Linked DNA regions of Diceros bicornis minor. The protein of the gene in region 1 interacts with the protein of each later gene in a pairwise test. Links are inferred from orthologs where the notes say so. Each region holds a gene or a part of one and is shown in the gene's direction. Other genes may lie near its edges. The genes, in order: L3MBTL3, PLEKHF1, NGB and PRKAA2.

What was found.
Region 2: the proteins of L3MBTL3 (region 1) and PLEKHF1 interact in binary tests that used the Homo sapiens proteins (3 or more experiments, as listed by UniProt). The two-hybrid records come from large-scale screens. The link is inferred for Diceros bicornis minor from reciprocal best matches to the Homo sapiens genes L3MBTL3 and PLEKHF1.
Region 3: the proteins of L3MBTL3 (region 1) and NGB interact in binary tests that used the Homo sapiens proteins (3 or more experiments, as listed by UniProt). The two-hybrid records come from large-scale screens. The link is inferred for Diceros bicornis minor from reciprocal best matches to the Homo sapiens genes L3MBTL3 and NGB.
Region 4: the proteins of L3MBTL3 (region 1) and PRKAA2 interact in binary tests that used the Homo sapiens proteins (3 or more experiments, as listed by UniProt). The two-hybrid records come from large-scale screens. The link is inferred for Diceros bicornis minor from reciprocal best matches to the Homo sapiens genes L3MBTL3 and PRKAA2.

What each region holds. Positions count from the first base shown.
Region 1 is NC_080762.1:7,779,931-7,787,381, reverse strand, and holds the start of L3MBTL3 (lethal(3)malignant brain tumor-like protein 3), read left to right. Parts: upstream 1-4,451; 5' UTR 4,452-4,542; intron 4,543-4,565; exon of another isoform or gene 4,566-4,622; intron 4,623-5,319; exon of another isoform or gene 5,320-5,342; intron 5,343-5,428; exon of another isoform or gene 5,429-5,597; intron 5,598-6,276; exon of another isoform or gene 6,277-6,466; intron 6,467-7,451. UniProt on the Homo sapiens protein: Is a negative regulator of Notch target genes expression, required for RBPJ-mediated transcriptional repression. It recruits KDM1A to Notch-responsive elements and promotes KDM1A-mediated H3K4me demethylation.
Region 2 is NC_080773.1:3,863,773-3,871,325, forward strand, and holds the start of PLEKHF1 (pleckstrin homology domain-containing family F member 1), read left to right. Parts: upstream 1-4,536; 5' UTR 4,537-4,677; intron 4,678-7,553. UniProt on the Homo sapiens protein: May induce apoptosis through the lysosomal-mitochondrial pathway. Translocates to the lysosome initiating the permeabilization of lysosomal membrane (LMP) and resulting in the release of CTSD and CTSL to the cytoplasm.
Region 3 is NC_080763.1:25,129,272-25,136,875, reverse strand, and holds the start of NGB (neuroglobin), read left to right. Parts: upstream 1-4,589; 5' UTR 4,590-4,764; coding exon 4,765-4,853; intron 4,854-6,393; coding exon 6,394-6,505; intron 6,506-7,129; coding exon 7,130-7,249; intron 7,250-7,604. UniProt on the Homo sapiens protein: Monomeric globin with a bis-histidyl six-coordinate heme-iron atom through which it can bind dioxygen, carbon monoxide and nitric oxide.
Region 4 is NC_080752.1:18,539,130-18,547,021, forward strand, and holds the start of PRKAA2 (5'-AMP-activated protein kinase catalytic subunit alpha-2), read left to right. Parts: upstream 1-4,876; 5' UTR 4,877-4,925; coding exon 4,926-5,019; intron 5,020-5,470; exon of another isoform or gene 5,471-5,509; intron 5,510-7,892. UniProt on the Homo sapiens protein: Catalytic subunit of AMP-activated protein kinase (AMPK), an energy sensor protein kinase that plays a key role in regulating cellular energy metabolism.

The sequences.
Region 1 (7,451 bases):
CCAGTTCACATGGCCAAGCGTGAGAATATGAGTGGTCCATTTCATCATTTTTATTCTTATGGTAAAGCACTCCCTACTGACTCATAGGCCGCCCTCTGCTACTAGATTCAGTCCTTGGATTAAATGTCCACTCCTGGACCAATCAGCTGGGATCAGGCAGCCAGGTCAAATGGAAAGAACATTCTAGAACCAGGCTCAGAGAGTATTGGGGTCTGTTGTCACAGACGTTCTGAAGTCTGGCTTGTCTGCTCTAATATTGTTTAGTTATAAGGCTTCTGGATTTTGGGCTTAAATGAGTAAATGTGTTATGGGAAATTACAAATTGTCTTTTTCTTTTTAATTTAGAAGTCAGTTTACAGATCTATATTATTCCACTCTTTTGAATATGTCTGTCATATTTCTATCTTTACCTTTGCATCTAAACAAAATGATAAGAAATACATCTATCCAGAAGTTCCTTACATATTAATTTCTTTAGGATGTTGAGAATGTGATACACATCATAATTCTTTCCTTACCTGATGAGTAATATATCCTTTTTCTTTCACCTTTAGCATTTCAATTACATTTCATTATCACAAGCTCTGTGCTAAGAATGCATGCAGATCACAAGAAAGATAGCCAGGATTCAAATTAGACTACCTATATGAACATTTCAGTGTTATCTAGAACACTAACAAGAAAATCAAACTCAGCTCTTACAAATATCAATAATAAGAATCTGGCCAAATCAATGTTAACGTCATTTTTATACTTGGAAAAACATGGAGCACACGATTATGTAGGCTAAAAAAATCAATAACTTGACTCATACTTAAAAGTAAGATAATACATTAAAAGGATGATTTAAAGTGTTGTTCATTTAGAAAATTTCTATAGAAAGATTCAATTTTACCTTAAAACTTGTGACCAATAGCACACGTTGCAACATGGGGAACTGGGGTTGGGAAGCAGTTTGTGGCTATGAAACAGGTCAAAACTAACTAGCCATTAGGGAATGGAACCCGTGTCCCTCATCTCATTAGTTCCAGGCCTAAACCGACTGAATGAGCTATAAACGGATAACGTTCTGATACCTAGCAGATGGATGAACTTTTCACTCCTTACTTAACATTCCTTTCTTGGTTCCGTAATATTTGACAGAGTTCCTCTGTCAAAGGATGGGGAGGAACACGGCTTTCAAAGAGACCTCAGAAATCAATTACTCTGTTTTCTTTGTCTAACTAGTGAGAGAATTGAAGCCCTGAAATGGGAGGTGACCTGCCGAATGGTTCCCGGTGAGCGGTGGCAGGACTGGACCAGAACACAAATCTCTTGGGCACTTTCAATCTGTGAGGGGCTGGCTTGTGGAGGAGGCAGTCCTTGAATCACTCCAGGACGGGAGGAGTGTGTCCTATCAATGCAGAACAAGCTTAGTGTTAGGAAAAGGGAGGTTAGGTTTCTAAATTGAAGTTCACACAGACAGGAGGTTACCGGATGAAGCACAGTGCAAGGGGTTTGGAATGACCTTCATCTGGGAGGTGATGAGGAGCCTCAAAGAGCCTCTGAAGAGGGAGTACAGTGATTTGTTTAAAACGCTTTCCATGTAAAATGACTCTAGCTTCAGAATATTTAGGATGTTGAGAATGTGATACACATTATAATCCTTTCCTTACCTGATGAGTAATATATCCTTTTTCTTTCACCTTTAGCAAGGTGAAAAGGTCCTTTCGTGGCGAATAAGTTTGGGTGTAAATAAATAAATACAAAGAAAAGTAAAAGAGTGAGCTAATGCTTTAGTTTGGGATATCATGGAAGTTATAGACTTGGTCTGAAGGATGGATTTGCTAGGTAGGTGTGACAGGGTGGAGCAGAGTGGGATGGCAACGAGGGAGAGTGGTGGAGAATGATGAGATTCAGTGACGCTGGAAAGAAGGGATTCATCCTGAATTATTAACCAGTGACTGAACAGTGGAAGGGTGAAGGAGTAGCAAAGAAGCTTCTACTAGTATATTACCATTTAGGGAACAGACAGAGAAAGGTCCTGGAAATAGTACCAGTTTATATGAAGAATAACACAATGTTATCTAGATTCTAATAGTGCATTCTGCTTTTGTCTCAGGTGGTAGCACCAAAGGATTCCTTGTAGAAAAATTTGGTAGCAGCCTTAAAGTCGTTATTCTTACACGTGAATACCTTCAAAATATTTCCTATTCTGAACCACATCTTGGGGACAACTGCGATGAAATCTTTGATGGTTCACTGATGATCTCTGGAGAAGAAATACAATGTACTGTAGAGAGCCTCAACTCCTCATTTTTGTTAGTGAACCTCAGTAAGTGATAGGTCCCAGGCAAACCTTACTACCCAAACCCTTGACCTCTACTCAGGCTTTCTCTGATTGGATCCCCGTCCCAGAAGAAAGGTGGAAGGACACAGCCTGGATGCTTCCTTCAAAAATCGGCGTAGCTATGACTTCTGGAAAGCCTTTCCTTATTGCCACAGATGCCCCTCAATTGTACTTGCTCTGCACCCCCGGCTACAACAGTTACCATACTGTAATGCAACGCCCAGTTCACTAGACTCCTCTCTCGCCAAACTGAACTCCTTGTGGCCTAGTTTTTATCCTTTATTACTCCCCAGCACCTTGCAGAATGCTTAGCACAAGGTAGGCCGTTAATATAAGTTTACAGACTGTTGAACCAACATCTCTGAAAATATATGTGAAATAGAAATATCATCCAGAAATTATTTAGAGAGAATGAGTCTAAAATGGACTTTTAGAAAGAGGAATCTAAAATTAATTGTAGTTTCCTTTGGGGTAAGGTCTTAGTTTTGTACATAGTTCATAGCCTTTCTTTCTTGCTCCTCCTGTAGTCTGCCTTTGGCCATTTCACTGCCTATTATTCAAGGGCTAAGGAGAAAAGGAGAGAAGCTGAAATTCAGATCAGTTAATTAGGCTGTTTGGGAGCAGCTCTGAAAAAGTTTGGATGTGGTAGGTGAAAGCAATAGTTAACTGGTGGTCTGAGATTATCTATAGCTCTCACCAACCCAGCCTTCCCCACTTCACACCCCTAAACCAGTGGCTGCCCAACACATGAAGTGTATTTTATAAGCTCATTTCAGCCTCCCAGGGTTTGTTTCTTTGTTCTGGAGTACATATCAAACCATGTGTCCTGATTTTTGGTTTGGAGAATTTAGTCACCATACCAACAAAAGAAGCAGTGGGGGGTGGTGGGGTGTCTACTTCTCTAGAGAAATTTCATGGTCCTAGGGAAGGAATTTAACAGTTTATTTTCTGAAATTGGTTCAAGGAACATTCCTTAAGTGAAAAAATCCAATCAAGAATAATATTACTTACATTTTGGAGGAGGATTTTTAATACAGAATTTCCATCTGTGATATATTTAAATTCTAGGCCTCAGGCAGCAATTTCGGTAAAGGGCCTCTTTTAGCCTTTATTGGATGCAAAATAAATAGCCCTCTCTGAGGGGTGAGGCCTTTCTTTTACCTTCCCACCCCTGCAAAATGGAAGCGTGGCTTCCACCATTCCTGAAATCACATGTGCTACTTTTTTCTCGCACAGCAAACTCTGTTAACATTAAAATGTTTATCACAACTTCAATTACTTGAATTATTTTGCAAGAACCTGTACCTAGTAGAAAAGGAGAATGGTGAGCTGCCCAAAAGGAGGGCTGCAGTCAATAAATAGAAAGCTGTCAATACCGAAATACAATACTCTTGATCTCATTTTGACGCCTTAACAAAGACAGGTTTTGCGATTTAGGACCGCTCAGCCATCTTGCCTGAATATATTAAGAGGGCAGTCCTCGACCTGCTCACTGCAAGGTACTTTAACACTGATTTCTAAGTAGATGCACGAATCCCAACATATTTCACAACAGAGGCCTACCGTGTTTAAGCTGTCAATAAAGACCCACACTCAGGAAACGGGAAGAATGCGCAAGTTTTACACGCACACTTCATTATGCATTCTTTCCGTCCCAAAAGACGGGGAGGTTCTACTCTGTAAAAGCTTAAAACTTTATTTCTTATTTTTCATGACCTGTAGCACGCATGTAGCCTTTTGGGTAGTGTTTGCGTAAGACTAAGGCCCGCTCTTTAATGGCTGAATGCATACACTGAACAGTACATGGTGGATTAGCTGCTCTGAGAATTGCCTTTAAAAAAAAGTAAAGTGAAAAATAGACAAAGAAATCTATAACCTCTGCCGTCTTTCATATTTGTTTTGCCTGTTCTCGAACCAGCTCTCAGCCGGTGACAAGGAGACTGAAAAGATGCACCTGAAACAGTATCTGCGGGCAGCTGCAGTTGCCAACCGGCTTTATTGCTGCTTTCCAGCGGCGAAGGCGCGGCAGCAGCAGCCACAGGGCAGCCAGCGCGAGCCTCCCCGGCGGCGGCGGCGGCGGCGGCACCGGCACCAGCGCAGTTTCCCCTCTCCCCAGCCCTGACTCTACGCGCACATGCGCACTGCGCCCGCAGCCCTGGACCATTTGTCAGGACTACTCGTGAGACGGAGAAAAAAAAAGAGAAAATTTGGGGGTAAGAAGCGGTTGATCGGATCTAATCTCTAATTAATCTGAAGATCTGCCCGTGCCAAAGCCATTCATTGATTTTTCTGGGTGAGGATGAAAGTTAAGAGACCTATGGAGAGAAGGAAGCGCACCCTCGTCTTGTGAAACAGATCAGGGGAGGGGAAAGGACAGAAGGGGCTTCTCCCCCACTTCTCTGCGCCTCTGGGAAAGAGGAGAAAACTTAATCCCGGGGAAAAAAGTGGGCAAGTGACTCGCCAAGGGCTGGAGGGGGAGTCTCTGGGCATCTCACTCTGAAGTAGTGAGTGCGAGTGTGAAAGAGGAACAAAAGAGAGAGAAAAGAGAAAGGAAAAAATGGGGGGAGGAGAGACTTGTATTTTTTTCTTTGCGCGCACACGGGGAAGGGTGTGGGGGGCCGTGCGGAAGGGAGCCGGGGCGAGGCGGCCGCGTCGGGCTCTGCCGGCGCGCAGGCGGCGGGATGCGTGTGGGCCCCCTCCCCCGCGCCCCCCGAGCTTGTCACTTTGGTCGCTTTCATGACACCGGGCGCGGGGTGGGGGAGCGCGGCGGCGCCGGGCTCCGCCGGGGTGCGTGCCCGAGTGGGCGCCGCGGAGCCGCAGCCGGGGCGGCGAGCGCGGCCGCCGAGGCGGGGGGCGCCGGCGGGGGGCGCGGGGGCGGCCGGGGCCGCGGATCGGTGCGGCGGGAGGCGCGAGCCCCGCGCGCCGCCCCTGCGGCCCCCTCCGCCCGTGTGGCCTTTGTGCCGGGCGCGCACCGGAGAGCGAGCGAGCGGGCGGGCGAGCGCGAGAAGTACAAGTACGGGAGACCGAGGCAGTGGGAAAAGAGGCCGGGCCACTTTCTCCCCGCTCGGGCTGCGGAGAATGGACTGGTTGAATGTGCAGGCGCGTCTGCCCGGCGTGTGCTGTGTGTGCGCGGCGGAAAGGCCTGCCCGACTCCCACCGCGCACACGCACACTCACACGCACGCACACACTCGCGGACCCGCGGCGGGGCTGGGCGGCCGAGAGTTTGCGTTCGCCTCCTCGCCGCCTCCCCCTTCCCGACCGACTGTGTGAGAATTTCATATAGATCGGCTCCAATTTCCGCCATTTTGGGAAAGTTGCACAAAAATAAACCCTCCGGTTTATTTCTGCCCGAGGCAGGAAAGTGCTTCGGGAAGCGAGGCGGCGCGGGCCCCGGCGGCCGTGCGCGCGGGGGAGGGCGCGGGCCGGGCCGGGAGCCCGCGCCGTCGCGGCGTTCGCCCCGCGCCCTGGGTGCCGCGCCGGCCCGGTGCGGGCGCGGGCGTGTGCCGGGCGGCGGCGGCGGCCGTGGCGGCGGCGGGCGGGGAGGGAGGCGCGGGGCTGCTGTTCCTGCAACTTGTTTACGCCGCCCTTATATTGCGAGGCGGCGAGGGGTCCGAGGCGGGGCCGCCGCCCGCCTCGCGCCGCGTGCGTGTGCCATTCCGGAATAATGGGTCTTGCACACTCGCGTCCTGGGCCCGGCGGGCCGGCCTCGCGCCGCGGCGGCCGGGCGGGGGGAAGTAGAGGCCGGCGGGGGTGGGGATCGGGAAGCGCAGGAGCCGGGGCATCCGCCGCGCGCCCCGCGGGCCGGCCGGGGGGAGAGGGAGGAAAACTTGTGAGCCCGGGAGGCGGGGTGGGGGGGGCGCGGGGGCAGGGCGCAACTTTTGTGCTGGTGGTAAAACTTTAATTACCTTTAAAGAAAAAAGGCCCCAGGATCCCCCCCCCCCCCGGTCGAAGCACGGCCCACAGCGCGACCGTGAGAGAAAGTTTAAAAGCGGGCGGTTTCCTCCCCGCCTTGCCCGCCGAGGGGTGGGGGGATCTGTTTGTCCGTCTGCGCTCGGAGAGAGGTGGGGGTCACGAGCCGCCCTCCGGGGTCGCGAAGCCCGGGGTTCTTACCCCACCCTTCCACGGGGAGACGAAGGTAAACGTCGCTTCGGTTTCCCTCCCCCCCCTCCGCTTCCTTTTCCTCCCCCTCCCCGCCGATTTTTTGAGGGGACCCAAAAAACGGAGTCTCTTTCCTTATGCAACTTCCTCGGGCGCTGCGGGCACGGCCCTTCCCCCTCCCTGCATCCCTTGGCCCGCTCCTTGACCACCCCGGGGCCACCAGAAAAATGCATTAGAGCTCATTCAAAGTGCACAAGAGCAAAAATAGATTTTTAATTGTTCTAAGTTTAAGTTAGGGGAAACTGAGATGAGAAATAAGAATTGGGGGGCAGGGGAGCGGCTGGGGCGAGTGCGTCGAATTTTAATTTTGATTTTCCTAGCTTTTGTGGTAGCTTTATTGGTTTGGGGGGCCCGAGAGTCTCTGGACTGGCTAGCTCGGTCGCGTGGATTTTTGCGCAAGTTTTTAGAAAAACACTGACTCGAGTAGAGCATTTCGCCGGAAAGTTTCAAGTGCAGCAAAATCGCGAACGTGCAAAACTGGCCAAGGGGAGACCTCTAGTGGTTAAACGCATCTTTAAGTTCGGAAGGCCGAGAGGAAAGTTTGGCCTTTACTTGTAGCTACGTAGTCGGTTCAGACGTGGAAGTAATTAGACGACCTGTGCCAGCAGCCAGATGTTGTGTGAAAGGATGCTGATCAGAAATAGAAAGTTTAGTAAATCGGAGAGCAGATGAGTTCTGAGGACCCAGACCGGGTCACTTGCATCCCTCATTACTTACATGGGAAAAACACTTGGCTTTTATTCTGGGATTTGAGATTGGTCACTCTTGGGATTAGAAACAATTGTTTGTTTTTTTATTTGTTGTTTTGTATACCTTTGATCTATTTTTAATCACGAGTCACAGCGGATAATTTCATTTTGAATGTTAATAAGAATACAAAGTGCAATATATGTTTAGAACTTTGAAAAAAATGAAAAGACCTTTGGTTGAAATTTGCCTTTTAAATGAGCTGATCATTTTAT
Region 2 (7,553 bases), on another chromosome or scaffold:
CTTCCCTCTCTCTCTCTAGCTTACCAGGGGAAGGGATTCTTGCTTCCTGCGTCATAAGCTGACCTATCCTTGGCTGTGCTGGGTCTGGATAATAGACAAAGGAAAGAGAAAACTGAAGACACCAGAGAGGTAAAGCTGGTCTCCGTCATAAGCAGCTGAGATGGGAAAAGATGAAGAAGAACAGAAATGGCAAGCTGCCCCGGCTGAGTGTCTTCAGGGAGAATTTGGAGGACCAGGAGACAAGAGTGGGGAAGAAAGAGAGCCTTGGAGAGCCGTCACCCTCTACTAGAAGGATGAAATTAGCCGTGCTGGATAGGAAGGAGTTTTAAACGTTTGCTGAAATTAAGGATGTGTTTTCTCTTGTGGTATTTCCTCAAGGGCCTGAGCACAAACTTGGAAGTCCTTTAGATTACTTTGTGGCTGTGGTTCTGTCTGTGACTACAACACGCCCACAGACTGAGCTACTTGGGACCCCAGTTATATTTGGGTTACACTAACAAGGATGAAGGCAGAACTGGGAAGGGAATGGAGGAGAGTCAGGCACAGGAATCCCTAGGACAAGGATTTGACCTGGTTTCCATATAAAGACAGACGTGAGTGACAACATTGGAAGTAGCCAGAGAGAAGCAGAGGTGGACTCAGGTAAGGTACTGACACATTTACACACACAAACAGCCAAGGGCAGGTGCTCTAGTCAGAAAGCTCTGGATAGAAGTGCCAGCTCTGCCACTCACTAGCTGGCTGACTTGGGAAGGTCTCTTCAGCTCTCTGAGCCTGACTCTTCTCATGTGTGGAATGAGACTAATGGTGGGAGTAATCGTGGGACTCGCTTGATGGGGATGTTGTAAGCTCCCGTGAACCTGCAGCAGCTCTCAGCACACTGCCCAGCACGGAGAAAAGGCCCGTGAGTGCCCCCTGGTATCACCATTGTTCACTTAAAGCTGCAGATACCCTAAGATGATCCTGTTCAAAGGCCATTTTTAAAGGGCCCAAAACTCTGACCTGCAGGTCAAGGTCATACCTACATGACCTCAGAGGCCACAAGATCTGTTTTGGACTCCCCTGAAGATGGATGGATTTAGGAAGAGTCTTCTCTCCTTGGTGCTGCACCCTGTGATACCAGAGTGGAGAATGGGGGCGAAGAAGGCGACTTTTCGATGAGAAATTCACTGTATCATTTCATGCTAGAAAAAAAATTCAAAACAAAGCAATGGAAAAAGATCGCTTAGGCAATATTTGTGTGCCCAAAGATTGTTCAGCAAACACTAACAGTATGAGTGGCAGAACATAAGGATATTAACATTGAAAAATAGAATTCAAAGTAAAATGCTTTTAAAAAGATGTTTCATTTTGATAAAATAACAATTCATCAAAAAATACGTATGTAATAGACCAGTTAACAGAGAAAATCAACGAGGTTAATGACATGACAGGCTTCAAAAGAGAATGATTTGAATCTCAATGGGTTAAGAAAATTGATAAAATAATTAAATGTTTTTGCAAAACTGGCTCTTATGACCAAGCAACAAAAGTCAGAGGTAACGAGAAGGATGCCCTGCTGAGCGATCACACATTTTGTGTGAGAACGGAAGCCTTCTCCAAACCAGCAGGACTCAAGCTTGCTCTATTCTAGGAATGTTTGAGTAGTTGCAAATGTAGCCTATGTTTTGTTAAATGGAAGACAAACATTTTCATAATTTTATTTCATTTTTGAAGATCAAGTCGCTTTTTCCTTTCTTTTCTTTTCTTTCTTATTGTGTCCCCATCTTGAGTCGATTCGCTTGAAGGGGTTGTTCTCTGAGAGCGGTTGTCCTCAGGTAATGAGCACCCCTGCAGGTATAAGGAGCACAGGTGGAGACGTGTTCAAAGGTTAAACTCCATTCTCTGTCAGAACACTCCAAAGGAAAAGAGGCCCCATAAACAGTGGACACATGCAAACACTTTCAAATGCAGTCGTGACGCCAGCAGTCAGGAAAGACTCCTCTTAAAGGAAACAGCTTCTGAGTGTAACCACTGTGCCTGGGCTTCAGGCGGAGATCAACCTCAGTGGCATCAGAACATTCCTGTTACATTCCCGAACTCTAGCCTGTGCTCCCAAGGGGAGACTCAAAACAGAAACAAGTAACGAGCGACTACTGTGGGTGTGCACAAGGGAACTTGTCCTCGGGGCCTCAGTCTCCGGGGAGGCAAAATCACAGACAGACCCACGATGCGGAGCGACAGAGCTGTAAGAGGGTTGAGCAGGATGCTACGGGAGCATGGAGGAAGAGTAGAAAGTGCCTCCAACTCAACCTGGAAGTCAGGGGATCCTTTGCAGGGGGAGGGACCGTCCATCTGAGGCCTGAAGGCTGGATTTCCCAGAAGAAACTCAGAGGAAAGGGTGTTCCAGAAGAGGAAGCAGCCGAGTTCAGAGATGTGAGAGAAAGACAGACAGACGACAGCTGGCCGGGAAGCTGGCAGCCTGCACACTGGGAAAGAATGACGACTCGGGTGTTGACTCTAATGACAGAGAACCACTTCAGTGCCAGACCTCTGGTCTTCAAAGCCTCTGAGGGCCAAGGGAGCAGCCTCCTTAGGGGCCACCAGGTGGAAGCCACAGCTTTTCTGACTCTCCAAATCTGTGTGTCCCAGGTGGCTATAGGGTGAGAAACCCAGCAGAGTGGACGCAGCTGGGCCTTGCTGCCCCTGCCCTGGGGGTCCACTCCCCCCCGAGGGTCCTCATCGACTCCTCCAGCCCCTGCATGCAGGGGACCAGAGTAAGGAAGGGCCCTGGTCACCACTGCACTCTGACCTGGGGACGGACACAGGCCAAGGCTCCAACACTGAGGCAAGACCTTCCCCAAAGCTGGGCAGGAACAGAAGGGAAATGAACACAGAAACAGTCATCACACCTATCGGGAGCTGGTGCAGAGCCAGGCACGCGACACGCTGCAACAGGACAGTCTGCTTTATCAGATGGCTTTGTGACGTTCATTTTGGATAGAATTTCTCAACAGTGGCACTGTTGACATTTTGGGCTGATCATTTTTTGTAAAGAGGGGCTGTCCTGTGCTTTGTAGGATGTTTAGCAGCATCTCTGGCCTCCACCCACTAGAAGTCAAGAGTATCCCCTGAGTCGACAACCAAAGATGTCTCCAGAAATTCTCAAATGTTCCCCGGGGAGCAAAATCACCCACGGTTGAGAACCATGAATTTTAAACATGAATCTCATGAGGACCGTCTCCAGGCTGTTCTCCAAGGGACCCAGGAGCCCGCCCTGCCTGTAGGAGCCTCAGGATTGCCTTGTGCAATGAGAGGTCCTATAATTCTTCAAAGGGGGTTGTATTGTGGGCAGTGGATAGGAAAAGGGTCTCTATAATCTGCAAGCTCCCCTTCTAGACTGACAACTTAAAAATCTGTGCCCCTTCTGGACTGGTGCAGCCTACAGGACCCGCCTGGGCAGGCGGAGTGAAGGCTGGATTTCAGCCCCTCTCATCTCTGCCCAGCATCTTCGTGCAGTGAACAACCTGCCCAATTGTGTGCAATGACCTTGAAAAGAAAGCTCCCCTCTGGGCTCAGAACTGGGGAACGTCTCAAACCAGAAGAAAATACATGCATTCTGACTTTCCGTTGGAGGCAGTACTGCCTATTGGGAAAGTCTGTTCTGTGCTGTACATGATGAATTCAGGAAAAATGTGAATTGAGTCAGGAGATTTGGACTCCAGATAGTCAAACAGCCTTTGGCCAGGTGAAATCCTGTTTCTAATTGACACTGGGTGTAGCCAGAGGCCCATGCGACCAGGATGCCCACGTGGAGGGCGGTAGGGGGAGGGAACAGGAGGTTCAGGGCAGTCTTAATACCAGAGAATGAAAACCAGAAGGGACTCACTTCTTAAACAGGAAATAGATATTCCAAAACCACTCCCTGGTCACAATGCAGAAAGCAGCAGTAAGAGCTGTGTGCTTGCACCGCCTTGGACTCTTCTGTGCTAATTCACTCACCCTGAGCTCTGCTGACTTCTTCCTTGAAGGAGCTGCAAATTCAGTCTTTGACTTCACGCACAGTCCCCTGGGCTCCGAGGGGCTCAGAAACCCTCAGTCTTGTCAGACACTGACTATGAGGCTTTTAAAAAGCTAGATGGCTGAGACAAATCAGCTCAAGAGATCACAGCTGTCTGACTTGGGGGAGGGTAGGAGAGGGGAGGGAGGGACTTCAAGATAAGCCTTTGGGTACTGTTTTGTTTGTTTTTTAAACCTTGTGATTTAATTTGATGGAAGATTTGGAGGTTTTTTGTTGCTGTTGTTTTGTTGTCTGTTGTTTGTTTTACAACAACTATTTTAAAGTTTCTACAACACACACATACACATGCACACACGCACCATAAAAGGCCCTTAGGGAATGCAAGGGCCAATCCCCACACTGGCTGTTTTAAGTTCTCTGTACAACTTCTTCTGTAACACCGGGGTCTCAGGACATCCCTGTGAGCTGTTACAGGCTGGTGAGGGGGGAATTAAGGGAGAGGTCAGGGTATCTCCATTGGTAGACCTGTTGCCCCATGGTTCCTACAGGGGCCTGGCTGTAGGCTCCAGGCAAAACTCCTGGGGACGCTCCCCAGCACCAATGAGGCAGTGCCCACTCTGGATGGCAAAGCAGCTGGTGATCGAGAGGCTCACCATCAACCGTCAGGCAGGAGAAGGGTGAGTACTAGAAGCATTCTAGGTGGGGAGACATTCTTCATTTTTTCAGACCCAACAGCAGTCATCTATTTTCTGAATCCCTGTGGAATTTGTGGCTGGAGAAAATGAGAGCAACCATGACAGGACCGTTCTGTCTGCAGTCTCTAGCTGTGCTCCCAAGCCAGGAAAAGTCAAAACATTGAGGCCAGGTGGTTTCGTGCTGCTCCAGTAAGACCCTGAGATGGTGGGGGCGTGGAAGACAGTCAAAATTTCTGCAGCTCTTCCCAAAGGGGCTGATAACCTCTGTCTATTTTCCTCTAACGGGAAGGTGTTTCTGAGTGTCCTCCGCCCCAGCATTTTGGCCTCTCCCTCTTCGTTCTCCCTATGGCTTTGGGGGCTGGAGGTGTGGGAGATCAAAATTTGGCCACCCTGAAATATGTCTCTTTACCTTGATTATTTTCTCTGATGGACATTTGACCTCCCCCACTAACTGCCTAAAGGAATTTAACTCTGGGTGTGGACAGACTGGCAGCATCCTCGATAAGCCCATTCTTTTCAAAGTTCTGTTTACCAAATATTTACATTTGTAAAGGTATCTCCCTCTGTGTAGTGGGAAGGGGGGACGACCTTGTCTGTGAAAACTCTTATCAGGACGGAAGAAGAAGACTTAAATGTACATACTCTTGATTACTATAATTCCTGTCTCTCCGGCCACATTCTCTATAGGTGGCCTTGCAAAGCATTGTCTGACAAATATTTACATTTCCCTCTTCATGTAAATTGTCTTCTCCCCCTCTGAAATCCCAAAAAGCCACCCACCTCCAACATCCTTCTTTGCCTTTAGCTGAAGATAGTATTTAAGACGAGAATCTCTGCCACTGTGTTGAGAAACTCAGTGTCCCTGGTTTCTCCCATGTATACATGTTATTAAACTTGGTATTATTTTCTCCTGCTAACCTGTCTTGTTAATTATTTGGACAGCCATAAGAGCCTTAAGGGAAAGGGCAGAGGGAGATTCTCCCTCTTCCCCCACAGAGGTGAAGGGTCAGGGCAGCCTTAAGAACTAGGCTCATTTCTGAAATCTCCTTTCTCTTAATTTAGTCATCCCTTCAGAAAAATTTTTTGCGTGATATTTTGCCTTGGCCTTTGTAACGCCATTTCTATGCCTAGATTGTTAATTTTTGTTTTGTTTGTTTTTTCTAGTTTTAGTTTATTTCACTCGGTATGGGAGGGTTTTGCATTTTGTTGTTGTTATTGTATGTCTTTGATCTTGCCGGTGGATTTTTACTTATTCAGAGCTCTGCTTGTTAAGGTTTGAGGGAGGGAAACTCTGACTCCGGCTTGGGAAATTCCCACCTGTGGCTTTGGAAAAGGGAGGAGAAGTTCTGAGCCCTGGCCTTCAGAACAGGAAATAGCTAAGAATCCCCAGGGGAAGGTCAGAAGGACCTTTACACCCTGGGAGAGAGTTCTTACAATGGAAAATTGTGCTTGCTTTTCTTTTCTCCTCTCCTAACAATAGGTCACTTGGAACTTTTCCAGTGTGATTTTCTTTGAGGCCTAGATGGCCACCAAACCCCAGCTCCCAGACTTGCTATTTCTTTAGAAAATCCAACACTGAACTTTTGAAAGGAAAACACACACACACATACACATTCCAGTTAGTTGGCAACCATGTAAAGAGCAGATACAGGAAATGCTGTATGTGCTATGAGACTTTAAATTACAAATTATGTAATTACTTATTTTACTAATATTTGTTTTCATTTTTAATTTATAGTACATTCATTCTTTTAGTGTACAGTTCTAAGTGTTTTGGCAGATGTATACAGTGTCACCACTGCCACATTCAGAATACAAAAGTGCTTTCATCATTCCAAAAGTCACCCTCATGCTGCTCCTTTGCAGTCACCTTACCCCTAACCAGAAGCAATGCTGTCTGTTCTCCATCCTTAGAATTCTGCGTTTTCAGAATGTCAGCATGTAGCTTTTGAGTCTGGGATTTTCTTGTAGCGTAATGCACTTGCAATCCATCCTTGTTGCTGGATCTGTAGAAGTTTGATCCTTATTATGCCTGAGTTCCTTTTCATTTCCTTGTACAGATATACCATACTTTGTTCATCCATTCATCTGAAGGACATTTGGGCTGTTTCCAATTTTTGGTTTTTGTGAATTAAGCTGTTATAAGCATTTGTTAACGGGTTTTGTGTGAACAAGCGTCATTATATCTCTTGAGTAAATATCTAGGAGTGAGATTGCTGGGTCACATGGTGAGAGTATATTTAACTTCTTAAGACATTGTCAACTATTTCTCAAGTGGTTGCACCGTTTTGCGTTCCTAGTAGCAACGTATGAAAGTTCCAGCTGCCCTGCGTCCTCCCCAGCACCTGGCATTACCATTTTTTGTTCTGCTTTGGTTTTATAGCCATTTAGATAGGTATGTAGTGGTATCTTGTTGTGGTTTTAGTTTGCATTTCCCTAATGTCTGATGATGTTGAGCGTTTTTCCTGTGTTTATTTGCCACCCATATATCTTCTTTGGGAAAGCGTCTATTGGCATGTTTTGACCATTTTTAAATTGAGCTGTTTGTTTCCATTTTGTTAAGTTTTGAAAGTTATTTATATATTCTGGATATATATCCCTTTGTCACATATGTGATTTGCAAATATTTACCCCTAGTCTGTGGCTTTTGTTTTTATTTTAAAAGTGTTTTTCACAGGGCAAAAGTTTAATTTTGATGAAGTCCAATTTTTAATTTTTTCTTTATGGATCATGCTTTTGGTGTCTATCTAAGAACTCTTTGCTTAACCCAAGCTCACAAAGATTTTCTTCAGTGTTTTCTTCTAAAAGTTTTAGGGTTTGATGTTTTACATGTAGGTCTAATATCCATTAGGAGTTCA
Region 3 (7,604 bases), on another chromosome or scaffold:
TCAGAGCTCTTTAGAGCAGCTTCGGGAGGCGGTTGCCACGGAGACTGGAAATTGGTCCCAGGGACAGGCTGTGCTACCTACTGGGTGGTGGGGAGGGAAGCTTCTGGCCATGCTTGGATGTTCAGACCAACCATCATTAATGTTAATAGAGGAAATGCAGCAATGTCAAAAGCAAGGCAGGTTTGTTAAATTAGATCTGGGGCCTGATGACCTCCCTCTTCCAGGGCTACAGCCCTTTTGACTTCCCCCAGCAGGAAGCGCTGCCTGTGTGCTGAGTCTGGGCTGCTTGCTTAATTGCATTTCTGGAAGGGAAAGAGAGCAGGGATGGAGAACCTCTGCTCACCCCTTTCAACCCACCAATCTCCCTCCCCTCCTCCCCACAGGCAGAGTTGGTTTCTTCTGAGCTGGGTGGGGGCAGCCATCTGGGTGGGCTCTCCTGGAGGTAGCATGCAGGAATCTGTGCTTGGCTCTTAGCTGAGAACAGTGGCCCACGATGACAACCAGGAGGCGGCTGATGATCCCTTGTGCCTTCTTATTTCCTAATGGGATCTTGTTGGAAGGGAGGAGCTCTGAAGGAGCTAAAGGGGCAGCCACTCGGAGTGAGGGGGAGGAAGGAGAAAGCTCAGCCAGTTTCTGCCTGTCCCTCCCTCCTGATCTGGCCACACTGGGGACAAAGGGTTCCTCTGTCCCTTCCACTGCTCTCCAAGGATGGGAGAATTGTCTGCCCACTCCCTCCTCTACCTCCTTGCCCAGACTGGCAGATACTTCTCTGGGGACAAGGCCACGTGGGTTGATGCAGCTTCAAGTGCCCAGGTTCTGTTGTTGGAAGATGCTGCGGAGAGGGGCTGGCAGAGTGGTGCTCCAAATATGGACTCCAGCCCCCAAGAATTGGCAGAAATGTGACATGCCCCACAAACTTGGTGGTGGAGGAAGAAGACTTCTGTTAGCCCAACCTCCAGCCAGCTTCTTGTGCCACGTTTTATATTAAAAAAATTTTTTCCACGGATAATCAGAGGATAATTTGTAATAAATAGCTCTTATTTTCAATGCTATGTTGTTCTTGTTGTACTTAATTGAATCTGACTTGCCCTCTGGCTCCCAGAAGGAAGAGAAGAATGTTTTGACTACAAGAACCATTCCATTGTGTCTCAAGTCTGAGGCCATTCTAATTCCAGCAGAGGCCCTGGGCTGCGAAGGTGAGCCTAATGACCCAGAGGGCATTTGGGCCCTCTCACCTACAAGGTTACTTGAGTAATGTTGGTTATTATTTTGATTTTCTTAAACTTATTCCAAAATAAGTAGGAAGCTGGACCTTATTTTTTCTCTTTTAACCTGCCCACACAAGTATAGAAAGGAGTGAAAGATAACAGTTGTCCACTTCTGAGACAGCTGAATAGCCCAGAATTGTAGCAACTTCCATTCTGCTTCCCCAAGACTCCCATCTTGACAGGGGTCTTCTGTTATCAGGAGTCACGTTTAGGTCCGAAGGGGGCAAGAGCTGACTTGTGTTGGACAGTAGGTGGGGGAGGAGAGAAGTAGCACTGCACTGTGAAATTGGGGGTCTTCTGGGCTGCCTGACTCCTGTGCCCCTTAGGACCCAGAGTAGCTGGAGTCAGGGAAGGGGAGGGCATGCAGATCTTCAGGAGGTGGAAAATGCCTAGGATAGGCAGGTTAGAGAAGGACCAGACACTTCTTGACTAGCGCAGCTTAGTTTACCAAGTCCCGACACATCTGTGACACTTCATCCTCATAAAGACCCTGTGAAGTCAGGGCTGTTTTTGTCCTCGTTCTACCCATGAGAGATTCAATTGCTTGCCTGAGGTCCCATGATCAATAAATAGTAGAGCCAGGACTAGGCGCCAAGTTGGGCTTTTTCTGCATCTCCAGCCGGGTCCTGGGACTAGAAGCACCTTCCCAGAACAACCTGGCAGCTCTGGGTCGCCTGGGGAGAAGGCGTGGACTTGGTTCAGAGGTGTCCAGGTTTAGCATGTTCCTTTGTACATTCTGCTTAACGCATGGACAGCTCATCTAGCGCCCGGTGTTTCCTGGTGCACCTAGACCAGTTTTCTGAGGAAAAAGCCCTGATTTGTGGCATTTTTCCAATTTCCATGGTGTCAATACTCCCACCATGGCCTATTTCAGGCTACCAACCTGATGTCACTGAAAGATGCTCACATTTGGCTCTCACAAGCCATCTAAGAGCCTGCCATTGACCTAGGCCCAGGGACATTGGCTTTGAACTGTGGAGGCAGCTCTTGGTCACAGCCCCTCATTAAAATGAGGGAGGCAGTGGAGCATGGAGGCCTGGAGGATGGGACAGAGTGAAACCTGAGGTCAAATCCTGGCCCCACCGTTTATTAACTATGTGACCTTGAGCTAGTTACTTAACCTCTCTGCCTCTGTTTCCTCAACAGTAAAACAATAAATAGTACCTACTTCGTAGTTATTGTGAGGGTGAAAAGAGTTAATGGTGCAAAGTACCTTGCACAGGGCCTGGACAAGAATGCTCAGTACGTGCTAGCTCTGGATTACTGTTGACGAGAAATTGACCTCAGTGACGGCACTGGCTCTAGAACAGTACTTGAACACTCCCCTTGATTAGAACCTCCTGCCCAAGTCTCGGGCAGATGCCAGGCAGGGAGGGGAGCTCCTGTGACTTTCCCCAGCCTCTCAAATGTGGAATCAGACCCTCCATCTCCTGGTTGGAATACACCACCCTGAGTGCTTAGGCCCAGCCAGAGTCTCAGGCCTTTTCTCTAAGGGGAGCAGAGATTAGAGTACACTTAGCTCTCTCCTCTGGCCTCCTGCTGGCTCTAGAAGTGCTGAGTGAGTGCTGACTCCACCACTTACTAGCTGAGGCCATTAACTCCCGTTAACTTATCAGACCCCAGACCCTGTCCAAAGGAGAAAGGAGGCAAGACGGGTCCCGAGTGTAGACTGATGCCAGGAAGGGCAACCTGGGTGGAGTGGGAAGCCTTAGACGAGTCAGGTGGCCTACACGGAGCATCAGGCACCTGGGCACTGAAAGGTAGAGGTCACCGGAGACATATGTCGCCTCCCCACCATCCCCCCATGACCTGCTGACCTGGCTGCAGGGCCCAGGATGCCAAACTGGAAGTCTAGTCCTCAAGTACCCTGGCCACCTTCTTCCTTCAGCCCTTAGTCCCTTCATGCTCTTACTTGGGGATCTCACAGACTCTTTAGGACACAAGCCAGGCTGCCTCACAGTCTTTCTCTCCTGCTCCAGCCCAGAGACCCCAGAGATATGTGGGGAGATGGGGAAGAGAGGAATAGGATGTACTCCAAACTCCTGAGTCCTTGGACGAGGGAGAGCAGCTAGGTGGTTTCATCGGGCTTGGCTGTGAGCAGGAAAGAAGAGTTCTGCTGAGACCCTCAGTCCTGACTCAGGGCCAGAAGGAGTTCTAGAAGGCAAGGACTCAGCACTCCATGCCTAGCACAGGGTTAGGCGTGGAGCCTCAGCCTGTCCATCACCAGTGGCCCTGGAACACTCACCTTGTATTCATGGAACCATAGGAGGTGGACTGAAAGGCCCCCTAGAGACCTTGCTACCCAACCTCCTTACTGTACAGCTGAGGAACTGGAGAGAGACAAGTGGGCAGACTGAGAGGACACAGGCTCAGAGACATGAAATAATGAAAGATAAATGAGGGTTTTGCTCTTCAAAACCTGCCCACCAGAACTGGGCTGGGGCCTGGGGAACTTTCATGCTTGAAAGAGAAAGGTTTAAGTGGAATTGACAGGTGACCAACTTCACACCCTGAATGGCAAGCATGAGATTCTGTTACCAGAACTTCAATTTAAACTTGTTAAAGAGTCTATTAAAAATCGTGGAATGGTGGAATGTTCGGGCATAACTCCGTCAGTGTCCAGGTAGTACAATGCTCATAGCTGCTGCACCTGGACCCCACCCTGGCCAAGCAGATTGGGGTTAGAATGGAGCTCACAGATTTCTAAAGATGGAGTCTCAAGAGAACCCAGGCCAGGCTGGAAATGGCTGCCGTCTTGGCCCTGTCCCTAAGGCTGAGAGCCAGGGTGGCGCCCAACGTGCAGGGTGCCTCAGTCAGAGCCAGAGCTAGAGCAGAGAGTCCCTCAACCTCAGCCTAGTCACACAGGTAGGCGCCCTGGCATCCCCAGATCAGCCCACGGGGCAGAAGGAAGCAGACCGTGTGCCAAGGGGATGGCAAACTCAAATGCCTCCAGGCGGTGTTTGAGTGGGCTTTGTGGAGAGGTGGGCCTGCAGAGCCTACCTGAGGCGATCAAATTCAACACGGCGCCCTAACTTGTAAATGGTAAAATTACCACCAGTTTCCGCATGAGAAACAGGCCCGGAGAGGCTCGACGATTTCCGTTAAGCTCTGAAGCCCGGGCATTTCCCATGCCACCAGGTCGCCCCTGGCCAGAGCCGGTTGCCCAGAGGTGCGCGGCTTGATGGACCGGAGGGGGGCGGGGGTCGCGGTTGCTTTAAAGCGCCCCAGCCAGGGCGGCGCGGGGAGGGGCGCTCTCGAAGCCGCGGGGCGCAGCGGCCGGAGTGGGGTCCCTCGGAAGCGCCAGCAGGGCCCGCAAGGCGGGGGAGCCTCCACCTAGGGCGGGGAAGGAGCGGTTGCTGGACCCCGCCCCGCCGAGGCGCGCGGGCCGTAGGGGGTGCGGAGTGGCCCGCGTCGCCGCGGAGATGGCGCGCCACGTGCGGTGACGGTGCCCGCGCCCCGAGGGTCCCAGCTCTGCGCCCTGCGTTCCCGGGCGAGCATGGAGCGCCCCGAGCCCGAGCTGATCCGGGAGAGCTGGCGGGCGGTAAGCCGCAGCCCGCTGGAGCATGGCACCGTCCTGTTCGCCAGGTGAGGTCGGCCCGAGCGCCCCGGGGTGCGGGAGGCGGGGTGCCTCGGTATGAATGGGTTCCAGGCGGCTGGACCAGCACCAGAGGAGGGAAAACTGACCCGCTGCCTTGGCTCTGGGGCGCCTCCAGATGTGCGCCAGAGGAGCGGGGCCGGCGACGGGTGGCGCAGCCCCTTCTTCTCTTCCCCGGGCGGTGAGCGCGTCCTGCGAGCCAGCACTGCACATCCCGCTCCCAAGCCGGCTCACTGGGGGCGGGCGGGGGTCCTCTCCGCCGGAACTCCTTACACTCGGGCTAGCGGATGGGGTCCCCACTGCGCCCTCTCCCCGACTCTATGCTTCCTGTGTGTTTGTTCCTGGGGTGTTGACTGCAGGGGTGTCCCCCCGCTGTCAGTACAGGGAGACTGAGATGCCCCGAGGGCCCGTGCAGGGAGGGTGCCGGGCGCCTGGCGGGGCCTGGGTCCGGGCCCCAGGAGTGTGCGCTTCCAGCAACCAACAGGAGGAGAAGCCTTTTCCAGGAAAGGACCAGGCTAGAATCAGAGAACTGCCAGGGAAGGGAGGACAGGCACCCAAGTCTGGCCCCAGGGGAGAGGGGGTAGGGGGTGCGCAGACCCCAAGGGGGAAGGGGAGGCCAGTCTTCAACCTTAGCTGAGGGTCTCTGGGTAACCCCTCTGCCTTCACAAAGAGGCAGCACTCCCTTTCACCATGGTTTTTCCGGAGCCTTGACTCCCTAAGCCAGCCCAGAACTTCTGAGGAACCTTTTGCAAAACCTCCCCCCAAACAAAAGAGGAATAAATTCCCAGTTACACAAAAACCCAATGAGCCCTCCCAGAGGTGGCTGAGGGCTTCTGCTTGTGCCTCCAGGTTCTCCCCAAGCCCACTGTTTTCTCAGGCACCCTCTGAGGCTCTCTACTCCCAAGCTGCGTGACCTTAGGCAAATTACTTAACTTCTCTGGGCTTCTGTTTCCTCCTCTATAAAATTGTGATGACAGTTGTACCCACTGCTTAGGATCCCACAGTGTACCCCCTGTGAGGAATACACGAGTTCACCACGTGTAAAGTACTCAATGCTCAGTTAAGTGTAGGGAGTTCTTAATATTATTATTATCATCACTGGCTGGAGCCCCCTTAGACATGATGAGACTGGGAGGTTCTGACTCAAGAGGGGGAGGGGTGGGGAGAGAGTGGGGGGTGGGGAGAGAAAGAGAGACAGAGAGAGAGAGAAGTGTTTTCCTCTCCCCACAGTGTAAGCCCAGGCTTCCTGTTTGAGGACCCCTTCCTGTCCCAGTCCACACCCCTCAACTGTTTATGGAGGGCTACTATATGCCAGGTCCTGTGAGAGGCCTGGGGACACATTGCTCTTTCCCGGATGCCCCTCAGAGCCTGCAGAAGAGGCGAGAAGGGGGCGCCAGCAAAGCTGGCAGAGGGGTCAGTGCCAGCTTGGAGGGTGTGCTGTAGTGGCCCAGCCCCACCCCACTGCTGGAAGCCAGGGCTGATGCGGCCGGCGGGGCCTGCAGGGGCTGACACCTGGGCCTCTCCCCGCAGGCTGTTTGACCTGGAGCCCAACCTGCTGCCCCTCTTCCAGTACAACTGCCGCCAGTTCTCCAGCCCAGAGGACTGCCTCTCTTCTCCCGAGTTCCTGGACCACATCAGGAAGGTGAGGGGAAGTCGGAGCCCAGGGGGCCTCTGGGATCCAGGAGGGCGCCTTCCTGGGAGAGTGAGGGCCTCGGGAGAGGGGAAATTACTTCTGCCCCAGGCCTGGTGTTACTCCCCTCCTTCTGCTCCCCACGTCAGGGGCATCTGCTCCTTTCCCTCTGCACGGAGCCGGGCCCAGTCGGGGGCACCAGTCAGCCCTCTCCCCTCCTGTGCTCTGCCAGCTGGTCCCAGCACTGTTGTTGTCCTCGGCCTCATCCCCTGGCTCCTGTAGGTGGTGTTGGCACTGATCCACTAGGGGTCATTTCCCTATGAAAACCAAGCTGGGATTTTCTTAGAGGCTCGTGACTCTCACAGGGCCTCAGTTTCCCCTCATCCCAGGCAAACAACAGTGTCCAGCAGGCACGTTTAGGGCTTTGAGCCCTCAGAGGAGAGGGGCTTCTTTCACGGTGTAACATTGGTAGTTTGGCCACCACATGTTTGGCGCCTACTGGTGCCAACACAGGTTGCCTTGCGTTTCTGATCCTGGAAAACTGAGGGTCCTGGTCACCTCTGACTTCTGGTTGGGATCCTCAGGTTCCGGAGGGTTGCTCTGGCCTCTGTTTCACTGCTGCCTCGGCCTTGGCAGGTGATGCTGGTGATTGATGCTGCGGTGACCAATGTGGAGGACCTGTCCTCGCTGGAGGAGTACCTTGCTGGCCTGGGCAGGAAGCACCGTGCGGTGGGCGTGAAGCTCAGCTCCTTCTCGGTGGGTAAAGGGTCTCTTCCTCTCTCTGGAGCCCCTGACATGAGACTGCCTCTCTCTCCCAGTCCTCCCCTTCCACCTGTTCTCTTTTCCCATTCCCACACTCTCAAATGACCAGGGCTCGGGGCCTGCACCTGTTACTTACCTGCTGTGTGACCCTGGCACTGCCTTGACCTTTCTGAGTCTCCAAATTTCTCCAAACCATAGAAATTTAAGGAGCCTTTAGGATTAGCTGGTCTGCTCAGTTTTCTATTGCTGTGTATATAACCATACCCAAACAAACTGGCTTAAAACAATGACTTGTGATTCCTCTGGGCTCAGCAGGGCGGTTCTTCTGTTCCACATGGTATGGCTGGAG
Region 4 (7,892 bases), on another chromosome or scaffold:
AAATTTTGGGCAAAGATAGATTGGTAAATGTTAACAATGTCGATAATCATTAAGGGTGGGGATTATTAATACTACTTTACTTTGGTGTCTGAAATTTTTCATAATAAAAATTAAAAAAGAAGTAATTATTGAACTTGTACTACATATAAGATACTATCAACACATTTCATTAATCACTGAGTCTCCAATTTTCTTTTTATTTTAAACTGGAAAACAATACGAGGAACACTTGCTCATGAATATATAAGGTCCTATATGGTCTGGCTTATGCCTATCTCCAACCTCACTAGTGACTAGTACACTGAGATGGAAAATTATGCTCTGTATTTAATATCTGTACGCATAAAATGGAGCTGCTATTAATTTTGACTTCTTTTTTAAAGTGCTCCTCCCTGTATTCTTGCTTCTTGATTTTATAGCTTAGTAACCGTTTTCTTTATTTCAATTCAACAAATATTTCTGGAATGATGTACCAGGTTAGGTTAGGCCCTAGGAAGAGCAGATGGGGTATGTCATTTTCATATATATATGAAATATTCATTTATATATGAAATATTCATATATATAATAACAGAAATGATAGATGCTATAATAGCTATATGAAAAAAAGTGCTATGGGAACCCTAAAGAGAAACATGTAATCAAAACTTGATCAACCATGCTAGAGGAAGGAGAGAATTATCTTTCTATTCTTTCCATAGAAAATGTTACAAACTATGAAGAGGCAATCAAAGAATATGCAGCCAAAAAATGTAGAAAACAAGTATTATCAAGGCATGCAGGATAGTTAATTTATAAAAATATGATTTTCTTCTGGATTTAGTGATCTTTGTGTTGTCAGCTTCAAAAAATGTGTAGATGTGTTTTTTCATTTCAAATAAATATACGCTTTCATACTCAATTTTGCATTTTTTTTCCTTAAAGAGGTCCCGCACATCACATAAACCTCAGATGCCACACAACCTGAATCCACTTGAGTGCCTATAATTTGCTAGGCAGTGTTCTGGGAGCTCAGGATACATTGGTGAACAAAATAGAGAAAACAATCCTCTCTTGTGAAGCTTATGTTCTAGTTGAGAGACAGACAAAACAAAAACATAATAAACGTCTAAATTAAATAGTATGTTAGAAGGTAAGTGCCGTGGAAAAACGTTGAGAAGGGTTGGAGGATGGAGAGTGCAGAGCAGGGAGTGTGGGTGAGATGAGAAAGCATTTGGCAAGATCCAACATCCATTTATCATAAAAGCTCTCAATAAAATGGGTATAGTAGTTTCCTTCTTCTATAGAACTACCTCAACATAATAAAGGCCATATATGACGAACCCACAGCCAACATCATATTCAACAGTGAAAAACTGAAAGCCATCCCTCTGAGAACAGGAACAAGACATGGGTGCCCACTTGCACCACTCTTATTCAACATAGTAATGGAAGTTTTAGCCAGAGCAATCAGGCAAGAAAAAGAAATAAAAGGGATCCAAATCGGAAAGCAAGAGGTAAAACTGTCACTATTCGTGGATGACATGATTCTCTACATAGAAAACCCTAAAGAATCCACCAAAAACTATTAGAAATAGTCAATGAATACAGTAAAGTTGCAGGCTACAAAATCAACATACAAAAATCAGTTGCATTTCTATACACTAACAACCAAATAGCAGAAAGAGAAATCGAGAATACAGTCCCATTTACAATTGCAACCAAAAGAACAAAATGCCTAGGAAATTGCCATTTTCAATAAGCTGGTCAGAGAAGGTAAGCCTCAGCGAGAAGGTGACTGTGAGCAAAGACTTGAAGGAACTGGTTATTGATAATACCAACAGACTCTAGTATAGTATATGAGTTCAGTGGTATGCCATTATTCTCTTATTCAGGCCCCACTTTAGAATATTTGAAGTAAAATAACCCCAAAGACCCAACAGTAGGAGGGTAAAGCAGGAACAGTTGACCAGGGTTAAGAACTGAGTAGCTGCCTGGGGCACTCATCTTAGACATTGGTACTAAACAACACAGAGACACTGAAACATCACTGGAAAATAATACAATGGGGAACATTCTATCTACCAGAACATTTTGGGAGGTGAGACCCCCAAGGGGCATGACCCTTAAGGAGATTTGGTCTGATTAACTGTCAGGTTTGTACTGCAGGGTGGGGTGAGGCAAACATGGAACCACACCTGAAATGGTCAGGGCACTAGACGGCTGAGTGCTGCCACCAAGGGGTGCCCTTTCCCACCTTTCTCACCTATTTAGCATTCAATCTTCCCTCTAAATAAAAGAGGGGAAAACAGCTAAAAATATGAGTTTAAAGTATATATTGTTGGCCTGCTCTAGAAATAATAAAAATAGGAGACTGGGACTCTTAATTGTGAACATCTTAAATGTTCTTGGAGGGCCAGCCCCGTGGCTTAGAGGTTAAGTGTGTGCGCTCTGCTGCTGGCCGCCGGGGTTCGGATCCCGGGCGCGCACTGAGGCACCGCTTCTCCGGCCATGCTGAGGCTGCGTCCCACATACAGCAACTAGAAGGCTGTGCAACTATGACATACAACTATCTACTGGGGCTTTGGGGAGAAAAAGGAGGAAGATTGGCAATAGATGTTAGCTCAGAGCTGGTCTTCCTCAGCAAAAAGAGGAGGATTAGCACGGATGTTAGCTCAGGGCTGATCTTCCTCTCACACACACAAAAAAAATACAGCAAAAAAAAAAAAATCATTAAACATTCTTGGAGCACCACATGATCTTTATTTATAAGCAGCTGTGGCATAGTAGAAAGACAAAAGGACAGGTCAGAACTGGATATTGAGTTCTGACTCTGCCACTGAACTGATTAGCCTTGGCCAAATCAGACAGTGAAAAACTAAGTTTTATCATCTATAAAATGGGGATAATAGTTAAGTTTCTTTTACGACAATTAAATGAGATAATTGTGTTTAAATGAACTTTTTAATCAACAAAGTATCATACACCTGTTTGGCATAATAATAAAGCTACAGGGTAGTTTTATTTTATTTATTTATTTATTATAGTTGCTAGGTAAGGATCATAGTTATGAAGGATATAATCATTTAAGTTGTAATTATCAACAAATAGTTAAGACAGTGCAGAATCCTTTAAAATCTCTATAGTCGGTCTTCACGCAGCTTCAAGAAACCAATCTAACAGACTTTTCAACATCTTTTAATGGGATGTTAGAACAAGAGACAGACATACATCTTGTTATCTCAAAAGCAGAATATGTATTTTGTTTCCTTATTCACTTGAATGAATACTGAAGGAGTGACCCTTAACCAAATGAAGGAAGGGTCAGCATCAAAAATAACTGGCTATTTTCTCCAAATTGCCAGCTAGGTAGAGTGATTCTTAAATGATACTTCTTGTCAGCAAGAAAGATGATCCCAAGAATGAACAAAAATAGCCTCTGTTCAACAGCTGCGATATCTATAATTTATAAGGTGTGATCATCTCTCATTAGATTGTCACGGTGTCTAAACAAGAATGTATGTATATTTGCCATTTGTATATCTATCACTTCTCAGAAAACAAACTTCTGTTACATCTTATTCTTTCTGATCAATGTATTTCTCTCTTTACACATAAACAGCGTGATAAGACACTTCTTGTTTGAGGAATGTGACCTTGAAACGTCATCGTCATGCACAACGTTAAAAATGTTCAACTAATCCTTAAACATTTATTCCAATCAGCAAATAATTTGCAAGCACTGAAAGACAGGCAACATTGAAGAACAGGACGACACGGAAGGAAGGGAGGGAGGGAGGCAAGGAGGAAGGGAAGAAGGAAAAAAAGAAGGAAGGAAGGTAGGAAGGAAGGAAGGAAGACATTCCTTCATTACTAAATTCCTGTCAGTATTCAATACAGTACCTGGGTGTCGCGCCTTTGTTTCCTCTTACCATTTTGTCCCCCCACCTTCTATCTTTATCTTTCATTCATTTGTGCCCTTACAGCCCTTCCTCTTCACAATTCTCTTTGTCTCTTATGTATTTTACTTCCTATGCTCACTATATTCAATTTCCCTTTTCATTTCTTGCACTATTTTCCTCTGGTGCAGCCCCATCACAGGCTATTTCTACACTATATATTTATCTAAGCATGTGCTAAATACCATCAAGCAAATATTGTGACTGATTTAATGAAGAACTTTGTGCAAATTAGTTAGAATGGAGAGCTCTGGAGGAGAGGGTCTCTTCCATCTCTAGGACAAAATAATTGAAAATGATGAAATACGTAGAGGAGGACAATTGAAGAGAGCACAGCATTGGGTTCCGTGTGTGCCACGACCTGTATCAAAAACTCCCAGGCCGTGACGTGAGGAACTTCCTCCTGGCTCTCCTCGGGCTGACCTTGGATCCCGGCCCCCGCCGCCTCCCATCCCTGAGCTCCCTCATGCTCACACTGCGGTTTTCACATCCTCTCGCTCCCCACACTGTGGGCCTGTTTCTCTGCTTCGAATTCGACTCCCATCTCTTTCCATTCGCTAAGATTCGCCCAAATCTCAGCCGCACACTTTCACTCCCTTCCGTTTTCCTCCTAACGGGCCCCCTAGAGCACCCCCCTCGCCCTCGGCCCCTCCGCAGGTGAGGGCGCCGTCCCTTCACGGCTCCCCGCGCACCTGTCGGCCTCCCCCCACCGCCGCCCGCGCTCCGGCCCCTCCCTCCGCTCCGCGGCCGGGCCCGGCCCCCGGCCTCTCGCCGCGCCCCCTCGGTGGGTCTGCGCGCCCAGCCTCCGCCGTTTAGCGAGTCCCCCCCCCGGCCCGGCCCTCCCCCGCCGCGCCCCTCCGCCCCGGCCCCCCCCCCCCCGGTCCCGCTGCACTGTGGGTAGGCGGCGGCGGCCGCGCTGAGGAGCCCGCGGCGGCGGCGGGGGAGCAGGCGGAGGAGCGGGCGGCGGCGAGGCCGCGCACGCCGAAGATGGCTGAGAAGCAGAAGCACGACGGGCGGGTGAAGATCGGCCACTACGTGCTGGGGGACACGCTGGGCGTCGGCACCTTCGGCAAAGTGAAGAGTTGAGTACGCCAGGCCGTCCGCTTCGCCGAGGCCGGGCCGGGCCGAGCCCCGGAGCCCGGGCGGGAGGGTGGCGGGCGGCGGGCGCGGGCCTGGTGGCAGGTGGAGCGGCCCGGCCGCGCGGAGCCGGGGCCCCGGGAGGGCGCGGGCGCACCTGGCCCCGCAGTGGTGGCAGGTGCAGGGCAGGGGCCGGAGAGGAGGGCGAGGGCGAGGGCGGGGGCAGCAGTGCCGGGGTCCAGGGCCCGCGCCCAGCCGCCCGTCCGGTGGTCGGGAGCGAGGCGCTTCCCCTGCGCGGACGTGAGTACCTTCTGTAGACCCGGGAGCGCGGACTCGGCGGTGGCGTGCCTTCCAGCTGCGGCATGGGCCGGACGGGGGGCTCCTCCACGGTCCTGATGGTTGAGTTTCCATTCTGCCAGGTGCCCCGTTAGGTGCTTTCCTTGTGATCTGTAATTCTCACAGCAGCTGGGTCAGGTGTTCTTCTCACGTTGAAGGTGAGAAAACGGGGACCCCTAGAGGCTGAGGAACGTGCTCAAGGTCACACAGAAATTGGCAGAACCAGGATGAAGAGTAAAATGTCTTCCGATTCTGGGCAGGCTGGGAGGTCCCTGCCCTCCCGATTCTTGCATGCTCCCGGGCTCTAGGTTGGTGGGGCTGGCTGTCTAGGGGGTGCTCCAGGGGCGAGAGGTGGGTCGGTCTTTCTGCTGGGCATGTGAAGGGCTGGCATGCAGCTGGATTTGTCAGGGGTTGATTAGAGCTGGGAGTTCGGAAGGTTGGTTGGCATGTGTAAAATGGTTCTAGGAAGGCTTCAGGAGTGGGGCAGAGAAAAAAGCCCCCTTGGTGTTGACCTTGGAGGATGTGGGGCTGAGGAGGCCAGAACTGCTGAGGCATAGTCCGCTGAGGTCTGTTTTCTTGGTGATAGGATCCCATTTTGGGTGTAGAAAAACAGGCTGCTTTTGAAATGTTTTACTTCTTACTAGTTAAGTATTGAACTTTCCTTTTCTGTTGTTAATAAGTCACATGGGATTGAATTGTTTTGTCCTCTTTCCAGAACTAGAGCCAGCTTATTAAGTATACTTTCCCTTTGATTGTTGCACATCCAGGATTATAAGTAAAATGTTGAATTTTTTTTTTCTTTTTGCTGTAGAAGTTCAGTAGGCAGTTTGGAGATTTTATTCTGAGGCCTTTATTTGGTTTAAAATTCATATTTTAATCTTAAATCAAGGCTGTTAAATAGGTAGAAGAAACTCATTGTTTGCATCAGCTCTTATTTACTTCCACATATCTGATACCGTTTTGTTTAGAAAATGCTTATTGTACACCTATGATGTGCTGGCCACGGTTCTGGGCAGTGAGGATACAGCAAGAAACAAAACCAGATTAAAATCCCTCCTTTTGTGGAGCTTATATTCTAGTAGGGGAAGACGAACAATAATCACAATATGTATGTAAACTATATAGCATGTCTAGTGCTGTTGAGAAAAATGAATCAGGGAAGGGAGCATAGGGAGTTTTGTGAGGTTGACAATTTTCAATAAAGTTGTCAAGCAAGGCCTCACAGATAAGGTACTGTTTGTGTAAAGACCTAAAAAGGTTGTAAAATTCTTTGAAGTCCTATGAGGCTATGAAGTTCTGGATTATTTTTGAAAGACCTCGTAAATAAAGTGCATAGTTCAGAGAATATATTTAGCTTGAATATAGGAAGATCCAGGGATTGGATTAATGCTTGTAACGTTACTCGTCATTAAGTATCATTACTGAGGACTAATGTGTTTGGACATTATTCACTTCCTGAAGCAAACAGTGCCTTGGCCATCTGGACATGTACACTCTTAAAGTTATATAACTTACCCTATGTCCTTTCAAAACATTTTTGTTTATCTTTTTAAATTCTTCAGCTGTAATCTGAATGTAGACTAGAACACCCATCAACTCAATTGGCCCCTTGTCAGAGGACAGCTTGAATCTCTTTTGTATACTCTTGAGCTGCTTCCAGGCACTGGCTTCTTCAAATATAGGCCAACAGAATATACTTTGATTTATGAGAAATTCTTTTCCTGGAGGACCCCTGTCCAAGGAGCAGCCAGTTGGAGGGCTGTTCTGAAGGCTAGGTTACAGCCTTTGTAAAGTTAGACTGTGGTTTCCCATCCAAGATTAGAGTTGTTCAATAAAAATTATGGAAGTTGCTACAATCTAAAGTTACTCATTTAATTCTTCGAGGGACAAGAAACAAAAGTACGTACATTTTTAAAAACAGCTTTATTGAGGTATATTTTATGTATAAAATTCACTCATTCCAGGTGAACAATTCAATGATTTTTAGTAACTTTACCAAATGGTGCAACCATCATGATAGATCAATTTTAGAACGTTTTCATCACCACAATAGGATCCCTCATGCCCGGTTACAGTTAATCCTTGTTCCTGCCCTCAGCCCCAGGAAACCACTAATCTATTTTCTGTCTGTATAAATTTGCTTTCTCTGGCCACTTCTTGTAAATGGGGACACTCAGTGTGGAGTCTCTCATGTCTGACTAATTTAACAATGTTTTTGAGGTTCATGCGTGACATAGAGTGTGTCACTAGTTTGTTCCTTTTTGTTGCTGAGTAATAATCTATTGTGTGGATATGCCACATTATGTCTGTACATTCACCATTTGATGGACATTGTTTTCAGATTGGGGCGGTTACAGATGATGCCGTCACAAACATTCACATGCAAGTCTTTGTGTGGACATATGTTTTTATATATCTTAGATACCTTATATATCTTAGATACCTTGGAGTAGAATTGCTGGGTCATATTGTAGTTTTATGTTTAGCTTTTAGAGAAACTACAAACTGTTTTCCAAAGTGGTTGTACCATTTTACAGTCCT